Linked DNA regions of Caenorhabditis elegans. The protein of the gene in region 1 purifies or fractionates together with the protein of each later gene. This does not show direct contact. Each region holds a gene or a part of one and is shown on either strand. Other genes may lie near its edges. The genes, in order: dnj-9 and immt-1.

Region 1 (9,832 bases):
ACTTTCACCCGTTTCTTTGAAAAATATATTTACAAAAACAATAAATTTTTAAGAAACTGGCGAAAAACCAGGAAAAATCGAAATAATTCCGTAACTACAGTACTCCACAAAGGCGCACGTTTTTTCGGAATTAATGAAATCTGTCGATGCGAGACCTGGTACTTTTCTTTTGGAGAACTCATATCAAACTTCTAGATAATCGGTAATATCTTTATTTCAATTGTTTCAATGATATTCACAGCGACACGCATAATCTGAATGGGTTTTGGAATAAGGCTTCGAGGGAAAAGGGGGAGGAAGAGTGATGAATTCAGTATCTGAACTGACTTCGTTGCATAAAATACTAAACATAAAACGGTAACACAAAAACACACTCGTGACCAGTACAGTTCACTAATTTTACAATTTTTGATTATGGTATGGAACAGTTAATATGTCTACTTGGTAGGAAGGGGGAAATAATAATACTACAGCGGATAAAATATAAATTGAAATTTCTTCTTAAGCGAGTCGATTACAGTGAGTGCATCGATTTTGAACGGTACACGGGACACAGCACAAGAAGATCAATCCAAATGGGAATGTGAAGATTGTGAGCATAATCAGACATAGAAGACAGCACATATCAGTTTGACGAGTGATCACTCCAACGGTCTGAAAGTTTTTTAATTGATTGATTGAATAAAGATTTAATCAAAGCTTACACAACGACGGCATGGTGCTCCAGGTTGAACATGAACTATGACATTACTTCCAGCAGGATTTTGAATACGAACTGCTCGAACGATCTGCTCAATTGCGGCCGGTTGTGGGAGACGCGTTTGTGCTGAAAATGTTTAATATAAAAAACGGATTACTTATTTGTTATTGTTTGAAATTAAAAGTTATTTGTTGCTTTCCGAGCTTCAAAGATTTATTAAAACTTACTAATCTGTGGTGGCTGGTAGTAGATCGGCGGTTGCCCTCCATTGTGATATTTAGGATCAGTCGATCCACCGTACGTCGGTGCAGCTGGATATGACATGGCAGCCTGATAGGATGGTGGTGGCATATCGTAGGAACTCATAGTAGGAGCTGGTCCAGCAGAAGCATGCGGTGGTGGTGGTCCTGCTGGAACTGGAGCGCTGACATGAACTTCTGAAGAGTTTTGAATGTCTGTGCTGGGATAGACAAATCCAGCCGGTGGAGGTGGACGAGACGGCGATGTTGGCTGTTGCTCGGGAGCTGATGGAGCCGATGGCTGAGCTGATGAGCTTGACATTCCTTCGTCAGTTGGAGGCTGAAATTTTATTTTGAATTATTTTTAATGTATAGAACTCGAGAAAATATAATTCAAGTTCAAATGGCTTTTTAATCAAAAAAAAAACTCACACTGTCTGGAAGAGGCTGCTTAACTGGATCCTGATGACCGGTCATTTCTAGAAATCTGAAAACGTGAGCGTTTGAGTGAAAATCTCGAGAATAATTTTACAAATGAAAAATGAATGCAACGATTGGAAAATAACCAATATTCCGAGAAGAGTTCAATTTTATAAAAGATCTTATTATTTTTTGTGGTCTTTATCTATAAATATAGCCTAATCTAATGAAAAAGCGAATCCTAATGAAATATTAAGAAAAGAAGAAAACACGTTGTCAAATATAAATAACCAAGAAGAAAAGAAGAGTCGACTGTACTGGGATTTGAGCAAAACACTGAGAAACAAAAATAGAAAAATTGAGCATTCTGATTACATTTAATTTTTTTAAAAAAGGCAGAAGGAGAAACAAATTATGAGAAAGACATAAAAAAAAGAACAAATCAAACAAAAAAACGGGCTATTTAAAGAAATCTGTTCAAATACAAAAAAAAAAAACAAGATTTGGCGTTGGAGATGATTTCCCTTGGTTGCAGACGATGTTTTTCTTCTGAAAAAATAAATCTTTGTTTTTATCGATTTTTTCCTAAAAAACACAGTGAGTGGTGGTAATGGAGGGTTCACTTTGTGATAAAAATGTATTCAGCGCGGACAAAATGATAATATGATAACACTGGCCAACGAATGAGACAGAGACTGAATTGACGAGAGAGTGAATGGAAGAGGAGACGATGAGAGAAAAATCGTTTGAAACAGTGTTTGCTGCTGTGGTCGGTGTGTCCCAGCACTCTATATTAATATGATAATTTCAACATGCAACAGTGACATTTTATTCAAAAGAGCCAGGGATACCACCGATGAATGTTAAATAATCAAAATTATCACAATTGAATAATCTGGGTTACTGTAGTTCAACTATCTGGATAATTTCGAGAGGAACAGATTTGATTGATAAAAAAAAAGCCAAGCAGTTTTTAGCTTTTGTAGGATGTAAGTTTTATAACTTGACAGAAAATACCTATTTTGGCAAAAAAAAATTTCTCGTTTTCTATAGATTTCAACAATAAAAACGTCGATTTGCCTCTGACACTTGAAATTAGAGACAAAGTGACTATTTTAATTTTAAATTAAAAAATAGTAAGCGAAAATATCCTACTATCAATAATATTATTACCCATACGCGGAATATTGCGGCTTTTGTGCGCCAAAAGTACGGTACCGGGTCTCGACACGACAATTTTGTTATATGCAAACTGATAAGATTACTGTAATTTCAAATTTTTGTTGTTGTGGAATTTTAATCGATTTTCTATAATGTTTCTCGCGATTTGTTAAAATTATTATTTTAATCAAAAAAAAAATGAAAAATTGATGGAAATTCGAAAGTTTTTTTTTTAGAATTTTCAGTTTTTTTGTCGTGTCGAGACCGGGTACCGTATTTTTGACGTAAAAGGTAATAGCAGAAAGAAAATTCAGAGCTTTCTGTGATTGGAATTTCTGAAAATTAACTATTTTTTGCAAAAAAGCTAATATCAATGTGAACAATCTCAAACACAAGAAGCGTCTGCTTCGTTTGTTTTCAATTGAATGTGAGATATGGATCTCTAGTCTCGCGCGTTTTCTAATCTCAATAGGGGAAAATCAAAAGAAGATTATGCCATATGAAATACATTTGTCCCGTGTCTGACCACGAGATCTTTTTTCTTTTTAATATTTCGCAATATTTCAGGTATTGTTCTAGAACATGTTCTGATAACACAATGAGAAATATTCTAGGCGAAAATAGTTTGTGGGGGACAGTAAATAACTAAGAAAATTGAAAAATCTTTAAAAAAAAAACAAAACACATGTATTAATGTTTTAGAATTTATCCCTGGAGACGTCAGACCGAAACAGAAAGAAAAAAGAAGACGTTGTGTAGTAGAATACAACAACCATGGCGACTTCAAGAAGAGGACGACAACCGGTTTAGTGATACAATAGTCAAAGAAATTGGCAGAGGGAGACGAAAATGTGACTCATTAAATTTTCAATGAAATTCTTACGAATAATCAGTATAAAATTTTCAACTTTTATGATATTGCAAATTGTATCTGGAATATTAATCATTGAGCTAATAAAAGCATTGTCGCTACTCAAAAATCATTGAATTAGTTATTTTTCAACAATATATCCAAAACTTTAATCAAATCGATTTATGAACAGCTAAAACATTCGTCATTCTTGCTCGTTAGGATCGAGACGAACACAAGATAGAAACATTCTAGAGAAAATAGAGAAAAATGAGCAAATCAGAGTGCAACTTCCGGGCGGAAATGGAAGGAAAACGAGAGAAGATAGAGAAAAAAGAAGAAGACGAAAAAATGTAAAATCTGTCAACGATGAGAAGACGAAATATTATTACCCATACGCGAAAATTTGCGCCAGAAATGCGGTACTCGGTCCCGACACGAAATTGTTTTTAAATTTTAGTACTGTAGTACTAAACTTTCGTTCTGGTGGAATTTTAAAGAATTTTACAGTTTTTGCAAGATTTGCAAAGTTTTTAATTGTTTTGTAGTTTTTCAAGTAAATATGTTTTTAACGGAAATCTATGAAAATTCGATTGAAAAAAGCGTGTCGAGACCCGTATTTTTCGCGAAAAATCAAAAAATTTTTGGTCTGGACAATGTTGAGAAGTAGTGGAGGTGAAGAGAATTACGTCACTACAGTTGACCCGATTGTTGCCTCGCGAACCAATTATTGAATCGTTCTCTATCGAAAACTGTCTCTAAAGTCGAGTGAAACGGGCGTTGGGGGCGTCAGCTGTTACCAGATAGTTTATTGATTTTAGCCGCAGGTGTTTTTTTAATACTTCTAAAACAAATGTTCAAGAGCGGGGGGACAAACTTAAGAAAGTGAAGAGTAGTTTGCAGAAAACTAGATGGAATAAATGGTGAACAAGGCACTGACATTTAGTTATAAAAACAAAAATCGAACAGCTGAAAACAAGGCAGAAAGTGTGACAAATCTTCGTTTTAAATTCTAGAACATTCAAATGTTTCGTAACTATTTCGTTTCGAAAATCGAGGAATAACAAGGAAAGTGAACGTGGGTGCGCTCTCTTTTTCTCTATTTCTCATCATCTCTACTACAATCGTGTGGAATACATTAATGATCTGTCAGGGTGACGGCCGTTTTACGAGTAAAGATTTCGGAACGGTGAAGATTTTTAATTGAAGTTTTTTTTTTCTATAAAACTGATAGCCAAAAAAAAACGCAACTTTTTGTGTTTTTTTGAGTTCTTTTTGAGCTTAATTTTGATGATGTTCAGAAACTTGTGAGATCCAAATAGTTTTCAAAAAATTATGTAGACACCGCAAAGTTCTGACGAATTTTTGGATAAATTAGACATTAGAGAATTTTTTGAATTTTGTTAGCAAAGATCAGCTCCACAATCACGTTCACATGCAAAAAAAAACTTACCGCTGACTGACTCACTCCAAACCATCGCAATGTTTACGTTTATTCGCTGGACAGGCGGTGAGCTGTAAAAATAAACAAAAATGCTGACTTCTTAATCAATTTTTGATCTATTCACCTCTAAGCGGGAGCATCAACGGCATTTCGTCGGCAACCGTGCAAGAATGCTCTTCTCCACGGAAAATGTAGCGGACTGTGAGCATTTTGGGCTCTCCGGGGCATGGATCGTAGAATCCTGGTAGTTGACTCTGAAAATGATTAGATTTTAGTAGTGGAAATTTTTGAAATTTTCATAAAACATTTGTAGAGTAAAGATTTAGTTTTTTGATAAACTAAGCGAAGATGCCGGTTTTTCGTTTTTCCGATATTTTGAAAAAAAAAACCATTTTTGGAAAAAAAGCTTAAAATTTTGGTTATTTTCCTTCTTTTCATACAAATTTTTTTTTCTTGTTGTTTTTCATCAACTTAAACTAGATTTGAGAAACAAATTTTTATGGTCAATTTTCTAAATTTTTTTTTTGATTTTTTCAATTTCTCAGAAAATCGAAAATTTTTGTTCTTTGATTTTTCGATTTTACGAAGAGGCTTTAAGAAAATGTATTGCTTACCTTAACGGTATAAACTCTCAATTGACTGTCATTGACCATAGCTTGAAGTGGAACTGTGACGTCAATCGTTCGTTCTCCAGCCAATGGATAAGCTCTTGTTCCACTAACATCACATTGTCCATATTTTGCACTTTCAATGATAACTCCTTGTTTTGATTCTTCATCTCGTTTAATTCTTTCAGCAGTTGCCCTCATTAAACTCACAATATTCGCGGCTTCTTCTTTTTTAGCAACATCAACTTCTTGTTCACGAGAATTATCCTCAAACATTGATTTAAACTTTTCCCACCATGGACGGAAGATCACTTTAGCAAGTTGGAATGAGAAATATGGAATTGCGACTCCATACAGTACACTTCTTGAAAGAGCTTCTTTGTCATCACAGAGCACAATTTGCCAGTCAAAAGTTGATTGTCCAGCTTTTAATTTGAATTTCGTATACAATAAACATGATGGGAATGAGAAATGGAATGAGCATGATATTCTTGAATATCTCGACAATCTACGATCCATGCTTATAGCTGGATTGACACCATATGTTGTCAATTGAACAGACATTTCGGTTATTGAATCATTTTCCGGCTTCCGAATGTAGTAAACTAGACGAACATTCGAATTAATTGGAGATAACGTCAGACTTCCTACAGCCTTCGCATGATTATTCTCTGTATGGACCATTGTAGTTGTAAGAGCATTTGCAATTGGGGAGATGTTCAGTACAATACTTCCTTGCCATCGAGTGTGCAACCGCATTGAGTAAACTGCAAGTTATTAAAGTTTTTTTTTTCGGAAAAATGCTAATTTCATTAATTTTTCGAATATTTTTTGGAGAATTATTGTGCAAAATTGAGAGTTTAAAAAATTATGTACATTTTATTTCTTGCAAATTTGTACAAAAATCATGAACATGGAATCTTGCAGAAAATTGAAGAATCAGTAAATAGGCGGTCTTTTTCAGAATACACCTTTTTAATTCTATTTAACATACTCATGGCAATAGATGGAATAATTGCTTCGTGAAGCATATTATATTGCAACTGCGGCTGTACGATCACTGCAGCTCTGGTGAAAACATTTCGAGCGGCACGACATGTCAATGAAACAGACTCGGCGGATAGTGAAATAGTGTTCTGAAGTAAACATTTGTATCATTATAAACTTCATTGTATCATCGTACCTCTAGATTATAACTTCCAGCTACTCGTTTCCAAACAGCTGAAACACTTCCATCTCCACGTCCATTTCCAGTTTTAACTCTCCCCGAAAGACCGAAACGATCAACACCAGTAAATGCACAATCAACAGATTGAGATAGTGAAATTCCTAATAATTGAGGAGGATATCTATCTTCATCGTTTTCTTGAAACATTCCAGCGATTGTCGTTTTTATCATAAAAGCACTCGTTGGATGAACTCGTTGGAGCATCAATTCTCGATCTTTCAGACGTTGTAGGAATTCATATTCCTTCCGGATGTTTTCTGGATTAGCAGATCTTGAAACCAACTCCCATCCCTGTGTGTCAAGGCCTTGAACTCCAAGAGCATCGTATATTGCTCGTTGCTTTGGATCCAGCAAGACTTCATGAGCTCTCCGAAGTTTCACAAAAACTCGTTCAGCGTCCTTCTTCTCGTCATTATCGACAAATCTATCAGGATGGAACATGAGACATCGCTTTCTGTATGCTTTGATAATTTCATCATCTGTCGCCTGGAAAATAATAGGTTACGGTTTTTTTCAAAATTACAATTTAAATACATCTTTCGGAACATTCAGAATTGCGTAAAAATCGATTTCCTCCTCTTCATCGAGTAGCAAATCTCCGTCTTCATCGCCACATATAGAAGAACTTGAGGACATGGACATCCTGTAATTTTTTTAATTTTTAGAAATTTGATATCACTGATGCAATTTAAGGGAAAATACTTTTGACACAAAATAATTAATAAAAACATCAATATTTGAGTGCACTCTTAAAAATTAAATCAAATTTCGAACTTCAGACATTAAAAAACAAACGAAAACATTTTTTTTGCATGACAGTTTCAAAAAAAAACAATTGATCGGCAATTGCGCCAACCCGCACTGAAAAAGCGCCAGCATAACCCCTTGCGCGTTTCTTGATTTTCAGCGGGAGTTTGAACACGAGTTTTTCAATATCAAGAAATTGGCAGTTTTGGTCGAACTACTGTAGTTTTATACTGCATTTTTTTATACTGTATTTTTACTTTTCCATAGATTTTCCAGTCTTCCACATAAAAAACAAAAGATATGTGTTTATTGCATGATGCGGTTTGTTCATTTCAATTCACAATTTAATGCAAAATCCAATTTATCCAGGCGTAAAGGGCACTGTGTGGCATATACGGAGAGATCTTAAAATAAGAATAGATCACAATCAACAAGGTAATATCAAATTATTCAATTCTTGTTGGAATTCAAAAAAAAAACATAATAATAATAATAAATAAGGATTGTTGTTTTGTTGTTTGGTTGGTTGGCGAGATGTTGGTGGAATGTAAGGTGAGGGGGCGTTGGCGATAAGATCAAGAGGAGATACAGAAGGGATTACGCTAGAATGACGTGTTGATGGTTCAGAAGATGTTACTGAAGAATTGAAGACTACCGTGAAGCAGCTGGAACAGGTGTCATTGTTTCCCTTTCTGCTTGATCGATCGGAGGGGAAACTGAAATCTAAATATTAATTAATCAGATTACTTCGTGATCTCTCTAGTTTTTGTGTTAAGAATTTCTGCCATTTATCACGTGGTATTGCACAAGTTCAGTCTACCCGACAGCTGGCATTTATTCATGATTTTTGACGATTTCCCACATGAACAGGTGAAACCATTTTGTGCAGATGAATTCTGACGCTACGATGCTCAAAGTTCACACTAACCTCGAAAGGATCTGCACTAAACTCGTCGGTATAATCAGAAATCGGTTGACCCCGTCGTTGCCTGTCCAGTACATCAGTGAGAACTGAGAACTCGTCGAAATAACCATCGGGTATGCTCTTTCGATATCTTCTCAATACTTGTTCATTATCAATCATTCGTTCTAATTTTTGTATTGTCTGAAAAATAAATATTTTAAAATTTATCTCAAATTATATGTGGACCCCATTTTGAAAGCGATGCTCAAGCTTGCTCCACGGTAAAACGCTCCGCCCCCGAACCATGGGTCTCGTTAGGTATTTGGCGCAAAACCGTAAATTTAAATGTTTTCAATTAGTTTTGCCGATTTCACCCGCTTTGGGGCATTTTTTGTGATGTTCTCCGTTGTAAAAAAAGCATTTATTACATAAATTTTGACATAAAAATTATTATTCAGAAACAACGGAGAATATTTTTAACAATACAAAAAAAAACCTGAAAACTTTTACCTAACGAGACCCAAATTATGAGGGCGGATCGTTTTCATTTTTGCGTTGGAGCGCGATTACGCTTTAATTTATATATCCACGAAAGTAATTTTCTAGAGTTTTTACTTCTTGAAATCCATAATTTATGTCACTTAACATATTTTTGATATAATTTAAAAGTCATAAATTAAACAAATGTTTAGATCATAAGAATTTGATCAACTGACCTGATAATAAGGTGTAGGTACTCTCCTCACTACCATCATGGGACTGGAGGCTATGAATTGTGTGAGCAGTAATACGATAAAGAGAAATCGAAACACGAAGTGATTATAAGTGTTGCTCATTTGAACACACTTGTGATTTACCTGAAAATATTTATGTTTCAGATGAGAAATCTGATTTAAAAAAAAAGAATAAAGAGAGAAACAGAGATGATTGTCTAGAAGGAGGAGGAGCTTCGTTTGCAGATGTTTTCTGAAACTAATGACGTCGTTCGAAACAGTATTGAAAACATTGAAAGAGTTGTTCTTCAAAACAACACATCGTTTCTTTTGGGAGATATATAGACTTCTGATCTAATTATTCAATCTACCATAACTTGATAAGGAGTTTCGGAGAGGGGGGAATACATCATGTCGGGTGGAGATGACGGCGACGGACCGGAAGTAAATTACGCCTGGGGTCTTTGGAATGAGAGCACGACGGAGCAGCAAAAATAGAGCAGAATACACGAATTACTTAAGCATGATTAGCCACCTCCAACGCCATTTCATTTCGTTTCATTTCGATTTTTGATGTGATTTGGAGTGAAGGTGTTCAATTGAAAATTTTGCATTTTATCTCCAAAATATGGCACCCGGTTTTAACACGACAAAGTTGTGTTAAATACGAAAGGGTGTGTGCCTTTAAAGAGTACTGTAAATTCCAGTTTTCGTCAATGCGGAATTTTCATAGATTTTCTCACGATTTGTTTAAATCCATATGTTGCACTCGAATTTTTTTTATCAAAAATCTATGAAAAGTTGATGAATATTCCGCA
Region 2 (8,413 bases), on another chromosome or scaffold:
CAAAAATTAAATTGACTTTTTCCCAAAAGTTGGCGCTGAAAATTAGCTGTGTTAGGAGTATATCATAAACTTAAATTAGTTAAAAGTTTTTAGAACTGTAAAATTTTAATCAATAATAAATTGACTCCAGATTCTAAGAACATGTGCAAAGTGCAGAAACCATCCTAAAACTTATTGAAACATTTGTCATTTTTCTGAAATTTTTATACAGTAAAGAGCAATTTTCAATCATTCTTGTATACCTATCCAAAAACTGCAAACGTGAATTTTTAAAAATTAGTTTTATCACAGCAGAACGCACCATACACCCTGTTTTTTTGAAATTATTATTCAAGTTCACTATGATATTTGGTCATTTTGGAACCATCAAACTGGCGCAACTCCACTTTTAAAAGTCTCCCGTGTTAATAAGGAATGTGGGTGGGATGGTCTTTCTTACAAGCTGTTTGGGTTGAATTTCCATCAGAATTATGTTTGAAACCTAGAAAAACACCATCCGTGCCACTTTTCACAATCACACCACAACAGTCTATTGATAGAGAATCCGCGTCAAACGGCCAAACACAACACCAGGTTATTAATTTCTTTGACTCTGCGCGTTTACAGTCGCTACCGAACCCAATCTTCCAGCTATCGACCGCTTCTGTGAGTATAACCCTACTTATCCATATATCTCAACTGTTATATACTACATCACGTTTTTAACTTTTCTTTCTTCTATTCGAGTGTTACCTTTTTCTTCTTTTTAAAAGCATGGAGTTTGCGATTTTATGCGATTTTTTCTCAGTGTTGGTTTGCGATTTGCTTCCAAACATTCAACGTTTTGCATGAGTTTTACTTCTAAAGTGAAATGATTTTGATTCTTTGCACGTGACACTGTTTCAAAATTGTACGTATGATATTTTCAGATCTCGACGCAATGACAGTCACGAAGCAAGTGACGTCTAGCACACTACACATTATGTACCATTTCATAATTTATTAACTATTTTTTTCTCATCTGATTTATTCTCATTTTCAATTTGTCGGTACACAAGTAAGGTTACGTGACTTTCCTCTCCCGTTGTATAATGCTTCTCATGCTTTCTAGCATTGCAATTATGTGCATTTCAGAAGGTGTGTGACACCTATTGCCTCAACTTTGTATAAAGTTTTATAACTTCTGAATAAATGTATTGGACAGTATAACAACCTATAATTTTGGAAGTCCATCAAAACAGAAAATGTTGGTTACATATTGTTTTGAAAAGTATAGCAATTCGCCAAAACTTTGACTAGAAAAAAAATTGTTTCGGCAGTTTGAAATTACGACAAAAATGTAATTTTTTTTGTAAAATCGCAACTACATAGACGGATAAATTGTTCAAATTTGAAATTTTATTTTTTTTAAACCTCAAAAATTTTTTTGGATATCATTTAAAATATCTCATTAGTAAATTCGGTCTTTTGGATCAATTTGTTAACCACCCGATGTCTAAAAATTGTATAAAAACAAATGAATTTCCTTTTGACACCATAAGTGTGACTTTTAACAATTTCCCCAACTGCCGCAACTGCACTTCTAGAGATTCTTTATTTGTTTGTCTCAAACTTCTACAAATCATACTTATTTCTGGTAAAAAATTGTAAAATTTTCACATTTATTCAATACATCGACGGTTCGAAAAACTACACAAACTTGGAAAAAATTGACGGCGAGAGTTTGGAAAAAAAAACGGGGAGAAAATGTGCACACACCCATCTACTATAAACTACCAACAAGAAATTGGTTTCTAAAAGACACACACACAATACTACTAGCAGCAAAACGTTTTTAAAACATTTGGATCGTTTTAAATAGGGTGAGAAATAGAGAAAAATAAAATGAGTGTAGTGAAAACCAGTAGAACACAATTTTAAAAAACGGTGACGCAAGACAATCAATTGTTCTAATAAGTTGAGCGAATCGAGGAGACGGCGGCGTGAGCCACAAGAAGCTGGGCGAGAAGGCGAGACTCGAGGTAGGAGCGGGTGTCGACGATCCAGTCACGAGCAAGATGAGCTGGCTGACCCTTCAAAAGTTGAACAACGCGAATCGCCTTATCGAGATCACCATTGTGTACGTACTGCTTGGCGCGGGAAAGGATCTGAACAAAAATGTTTCACTAGTCTTACAAAACGTTTGAATTCTAATTTTAAAAAAACTTGATATTTTTTGTACGGACATCGTACGGGACTGGGAAGCTCTCGGAATAAAGAACAAGCATTTTAATAAAAATTATGAGATAAGAATTTTGATTTTTTTGATCGGAATAAGAATGTTGCCATTCGAATCAAATTTATTTTTCACAACGGGGTCATATTTATAGAGACCCGAGTTATGAAGACAAAAGCCCGATTTTTACAAACCTGACAGTTTTTAAACGTGGGTTCATTACGTTACTTAAAGCTGACATATTTTTAATGATATTTAACATGACTACTAATCAACCACGAAGTCATACGAGCGTATCTCACAATCTGGAGTATTCTTATAAAAGTACGGAATTTCTGCCGGATTCTAAAAAAAAAACAGTGGAAAACGCCAAAAGTGATCTGCTAATCTGCTGCCAAAAATCCAACCTCAAAATTTCTAAGAGTCAGGAGCAACGTGGATGGAAATATTTTTAAATTTTTTAAATGGAATCATGACCAGATTTTTATGGAATATGTGAGCTATACAATTTTATGTATCATGTTCAATCACCTAGGGGTTGCAGAGCAGAGTTGTTTACGTATCCGCATAATTATGACCCACTCTAATGTATTCTGTACTCAAATCTATCCTCACCTCATAGTTATCAGTGTTGTTCACATCAATAGCATCTAAATTTCCATACTGTTGTGGCATATCCACGAGGAACAGGGATTTGACGTACGACCAGAAATAGGCTCCTAAGGTTCCTCCGTTCTCATCGATAGAAGCAGTCTTGCGACCAATCTTGTACAGTTGCTCGAAGCGGTTTTTGAGATCCTGCTCAGTGTATGTGCCAACTGTGGTCGCTTGTTTTGGGAACGAGTCGATGATGGCGTTGACAAACTCGTCTTCTGGATTGACCTGAAAACGATAAATTCAGATTAAAATGAAAATGTAGAATAGTAACAAAATGTAAAAAAGTTGATTTCGTTGACAAACTCGCTAACCTCCTTGAGAAGATTCAAAGACTCGTTCAATGGAAGTCTTCTCTCATCAATGTTGTTTCCGGCCTTGTTACCATGTTTCAAAGTGTCAATCAAATTATGGCACGCAATCCAGAACTGCTTGGCGCGACGGTTTTCGTTGTCAAGAGCAACTCGGCTTCCGAGAGCCTCTTCGATTCCCTCCAGTCGGCTCAACGCAGCACCAACTTGCTTGCTGTGAAGATTGCGCTCTTGCAAAACTGCCTCCTCTACCTTCTGATTCTGTTCAATCTCGAAGAGTTGTCTCTGAGTCCGGATGACTTGCTCCAAGTGCTCAGAGTGAGCCGAGGCGGTGCGCTTCAATTGATTCTCCAGCTCACCTTCCCATGATGAACGGCTTTCCACAAGCTGAAATCAAAAAGTGGAATATTTGAGGAAAAACAACTTTTAACCCCAAATTTGATAACAAACTTACAGCTCGTTCGATTTCCAACTCATTCTGACGGCCAACACGGCTCATCTCAATGCTCAATTTTTCAGACGCGATCCGCTCATCGGCAAGTCGCTGCTCTTCAAGAGCCTTTGAGATGTGCAGTTCCTCGCGAACTTGCTGATCCGAAAGCTGACAACGAAGCTGGTCAACTTTGAGATGAGCGTGAGCGATCAATGCATTCAGTTCGTCTTCGTTGAGATTTTTGTCCTGAAAATGAATTTATGTGAACTTTCAAATTTGTATTTTAGGAAACAATGTCAAAAAGGCTTTTCGTTTAGTCAAAAATTTTAAACGTTTGATATTCGACTTTCAATTTGTGAAAAATAACAGAAGCCTTTCCTATCAAATCCTCAGCTGAAATATCTTCCTGAATCAGTCAGCATCTATAAAAAATTGTAAAAATTGTGATCTCAAATATATTTGTACTGTAACTATTTGTACTAAAGGTATGTTGTATTCTTCTGACTTTACCGAGAGTACATATCAACTATAAATATAATTTTTGCTTTTGACTACAAAAATTTCATAAATGCACCTTAGCAAAATCATAGGCTCATTTGAGCCTATTACAGAAATTCATTATTTTATAAAAAACCGAGGATGGACTCCATTCCTTCTATTTTTTTCGTCACTCACTTTAGCGTGAATATCAACATTTGGCAAGATGCTCTTCATCTCAAGAGCAAACTGTTGACGAGACTTCTCAATCAAATCCTTGTACTGATTGAGGACTGCAGATTCTTGACGAGACTGAAAACAATTTTGACAATTTTTGGTAAAAGTGCCAATGCATGTAATACCTTGTTGACCAATGCGTTGATCTCATCAAGCTGATGAGAAAGCTTATTAGCAGTCTCTTGAGCATTCAGAAGTAGCGGATTTGTGGCGGTAGTTGAATCTCGCTTTCCATCGTTCACAATCTGTAAATGTCCGAATTGAGAAAAATAAATAGTTATTATTAAAAATTTGCATTTAATCAAATATTAAACAAGCGTCTCTATTTTCAGTTGCATTTAATTCCTTTTCGTAAATGAGCTTGGAAGAGGTCCTTTTTACAAATTTTGAAAAAAAAACAGGGTCGAAGTATTGCAACAAGACAAAAATCATAGGACCTGTCACATAATAACTTGTGTAGCAGTTCAAAAACAGGCACTAGATAGCCGAACTTCCGCAGACCGGACGACAGATTTAGTCCGGTTTAGTCAAGTCCTAGTTTCCAATGGTCTAACGACTCTGGGTATTTTATTATGAAGGTGTAAGACCAAAATGTGCTCATTAAAAGAATTTCGCAATGAAGTTTCTCAAAAAATTTAAAAATTTTGTGTCATTGCGGTTCAAAATTTCAAACATAAATTTTTTTTTGGGTGTTAGGCTGTACCAAAAGATACCTTGCGAAGGTTATCAATGTAGTTTCTCCCGTCCACCTCTTGGCCACTGTCGACGCGTGCCTCAGCTTCGGCTCTTTGAAGAGCAGAAGTGACGTTTTCCCAGTTGGCGTGCTTAGCATCATCGACGGTTTGCTTGAGAATACTGGCATGCTCATTGATCGCATTGATGGTCTTCAGCTTGGCCTCAGTGGCTAAACGCACTTTTCCTTCAGCAGAGTGAATTGCGATTTTAAGCTTCTCCTCAAGTTCTGTAACTTTAAACTGTTATGAAAATTACGCTTAAAAAATCTTACGTTGGTTCTTGGCAAAGACGACATCTGGAGAAGGTTTTGGGATCATTGGGGTCACATCTTTGCGAACATCCACTGGGTCAACATGTGTGGGCTCTCTTGGAAGGACAGGCGGCAGTGGCGCGAGCTCCAATGGAGGAAGAACTTCCTTCTTTTTTGGGACAGCGTTCACTACAGCATCCTTGAGGTCACCGATCTGTTGTTTTGTCTTCCTGAAAAAGGATTATCGTTAAGACTGTCACTTTTTTAGTAAATAAAGCTTACTGCAAGCTAGATTCTCCCAAAACTGCGTCGAAAACTTGTTTCACTGGCGGAACAGTGGATTCGACTTTGTGACGGAACTCAGGGTCGACATACGCGTATCCGACAACACCACCAGCTCCAACAACGGTTGCTCCGACAAGAGCCAATCCTTTGCCACCTCCGGATTTTCTGAAATACGACGCGTTTTTATTATCGATTTTGGTGTATGTTTTACTTTGGTGGTTGAACTGGTGGCTTCGGTGGAGCAGCGGCTTGATTTGATTGTTGACGGGCTCTTTTCAACGTCTGGCTGACTGATCGCTTCTGAAATGAAAAAATTATACATTTAAACTAAAAATTGCATTTTTTTAATGAAAAAAAAACTCACCGATGCAATACGAAACATTTCCGCGACGAGCAGCGAATAATTTACCTAAAAAGTAATAAATTTTACAACGAAATTTTATATAAATCAAGAAAAAATCAAAATAATCAAGAGAGTGCAATCGAAAAAGAAATAAACATATTGTTTAGTGTTCGAAGATTAAGTTGCGCGTCATGCACGAGAAACGCGCCAGCAATCGATGTCTGTGTATCTTTTGTAAGTGCGTACGGGACGACGGGAAGAATGGCTGTGTGGGGAGGCATTGGAAGAGTGTGGCAGGGAAACAAAGGGAAATTGCCGATGCATTAAACGTTTGGGACATTTTGAACGCATAAACCCAAAATGAGCTCAAATAAACGAATTTTATAATGAAACTTCATTAAAAATTTTCAAAAAGTAGTTTTTGCCGGTTGAAAATTTCGAAAAAAAAACGTATTTCAAGTGAAATCTCCAATTTCGGCCATTTTTCCGTATCGCACACCTGGTCCATAAAAATTTTCCAACACTTTTAAAAGTGATTATTTAATCAAAACGCGGAATTTGGTTGTATTTTTAAGCTTAAAAAAACTTTAGTCCTAAGCCTAATATCGACAAAAAGGGTAACGTTAATTTTTCAGAATTGTAAACACTACAGAAGTACCGTAATTTTGTTAATTAAAATACATTTAAAACCGATAGGAAAAAATTATAGTATTAAAATAGCAGCTTTGGATTACTACGACTTGGAAAAGTGGCCAAATTTAAAGATATTTGAAGTGCCATAAACGTCCTAAAATTTTATGCAACATGAATTTTTACTGTTCTGTGTAACTTTTCAATTTAGAAATCAACATTTGTACGCAAAAAAGTGCAGCAAAAGTGCAGCATATAGTACCAGATATTTCCTTAAACTTCAGAAAAATGTTTGCTTTATTTGAAAACATCTTTAATATAATTCATAAAAATAAAAATAAAAAACTGCTTAGAAATTGTCTCTAATTTAATAAGAGCCGGAAAAATATCCCACAAATTATGGAAAATAATTTCCGGCAATTTTCAACTTGCATACTATTTTTGAGCATTTTTACAGTTGTTTCATATTAAATAAAACATTACTTTTAGATTAAAAAAAAAGTGTTTTTCTATATTTTATTTTTAACATTTAATAAAATATATCACTTTTTGCTCATTTTGGCTCATTTTGTAGATTTGCCGAAATTGCCGCGCACCCCTGATATGTACACTTTACCGGAAATTTTTAAAAATTGATAATGCACTAAAAAAATAGTAGAAACCATTAGAAACCAGTGTACAATTGATAAATGGTGTTTGTATCTGGGCATTTCATGTTGAAAAAAAATCGCCAAGGTCATTTGTTTGGTTAGGCCAGTGTACTTGAAATTGGTAGTGTTAGAACTTATATTTTATTTTTAAAATAATTGATTTTCAATTTCTTTTTTCATTTTTCTTCCAATTAACTCTTTCCATTCAAATAGAATTTTGAAATATACAAATTCTCAGTCACCATACACAACTTATTAAAGCGCAAGAATTTTAACATGCCCAGCAATGCTTAAGAGACGCAGAGTATATTCACCGTAGTTTGAAGCGAGGGTCTCGAAGCGATGTGGCAGTGAGAGTGGGGCTGCCTTTTCCTCGGGTTTGCACCCTCTCATCCGCCGCTATTGATTCTCTTTCTTTTCTCAATTTCCCTCGGGCTCGATGGGCTCGCTGCTTCTTTTCATTTTCGTGTTTTTTTTTCGTCAGCAGGCACATTGAATAAATATTCCGAGGCAGGGTCACAGAAAATTCTATGTCAACTTTTCTTTACTTTCTTATTTAACTCTTACTTTGTCCCATTTAGACGTTTCCAGAAAATGTTTTTCTCCAAGCTTGGATCATTATGCACTAGGATGGATTTTCGTGATGCCAATATTCCAGCCGCCTCTTTCCACACCGTTGCAGCTATTCTGGTAAGCTTTTGCACATGACTTCAATAATAGTATTCTCCAATATTTCAGGCAATTTTCGCAATGATGTCTACAGACTGGATTCTCATTGAAGATATGAGCACAAAAAACGGCACAACCGACATCGACGCTTTGCAGGTGGCTCAACTTTACATGAAGAACACAGAACCCTGTCATGCAATTGGTAAGTCTTGTTTAGCATTGCAAAAAAATAAATTGTGTAGAAGCTGAGAGCAGATGACTGTGCAAACTTTTCAAAAAACCATTTTCTTGTAATGACTTTTACATTAAAACTGAATCAAAAGCTGGTAATACAATATTGACAAAACGGAATGCGATGTTAAAATCAACACGATTAACAGTATCTTGAAAGTGAAATGATACTTCAAATTTAAACTTAATCAAAAACATTTGAAATTTTTTAAAGATGGGGTATCATAGTGAAAATGTTCTTTAGAAAAATCAAAATTGTATATGATTTTTTTTTGAAAATTGGAAAAATCTAAATTTTTGCCACTTTTTGGAAG

What was found.
Region 2: the proteins of dnj-9 (region 1) and immt-1 fractionate together in Caenorhabditis elegans (co-fractionation; one large-scale study listed by BioGRID). This does not show direct contact.

What each region holds. Positions count from the first base shown.
Region 1 is NC_003280.10:4,849,517-4,859,348, reverse strand, and holds dnj-9 (J domain-containing protein), read right to left. Parts: upstream 7,294-9,832; 5' UTR 7,293-7,293; coding exon 7,185-7,292; intron 7,137-7,184; coding exon 6,606-7,136; intron 6,559-6,605; coding exon 6,417-6,558; intron 6,190-6,416; coding exon 5,429-6,189; intron 5,069-5,428; coding exon 4,939-5,068; intron 4,886-4,938; coding exon 4,863-4,885; 3' UTR 4,824-4,862; intron 1,909-4,823; 3' UTR 1,550-1,908; downstream 1-1,549. Other genes in the region: F11G11.5 (Membrane protein BRI3), read right to left, coding at 502-654, 705-826, 928-1,279, 1,372-1,416; nssp-16 (Neuropeptide-Like Protein), read right to left, coding at 8,049-8,120, 8,326-8,502, 9,018-9,137.
Region 2 is NC_003284.9:2,681,200-2,689,612, forward strand, and holds immt-1 (MICOS complex subunit MIC60-1), read right to left. Parts: upstream 5,986-8,413; 5' UTR 5,959-5,985; coding exon 5,941-5,958; exon of another isoform or gene 5,877-5,940; coding exon 5,788-5,876; intron 5,742-5,787; coding exon 5,574-5,741; intron 5,522-5,573; coding exon 5,313-5,521; intron 5,268-5,312; coding exon 5,020-5,267; intron 4,552-5,019; coding exon 4,432-4,551; intron 4,382-4,431; coding exon 4,268-4,381; intron 3,839-4,267; coding exon 3,614-3,838; intron 3,547-3,613; coding exon 3,163-3,546; intron 3,077-3,162; coding exon 2,810-3,076; intron 2,127-2,809; coding exon 1,929-2,126; 3' UTR 1,555-1,928; downstream 1-1,554. Other genes in the region: ser-7 (G-protein coupled receptors family 1 profile domain-containing protein), read left to right, coding at 607-645, 909-948; T14G11.1 (Membrane-associated protein), read left to right, coding at 7,794-7,889, 7,938-8,070.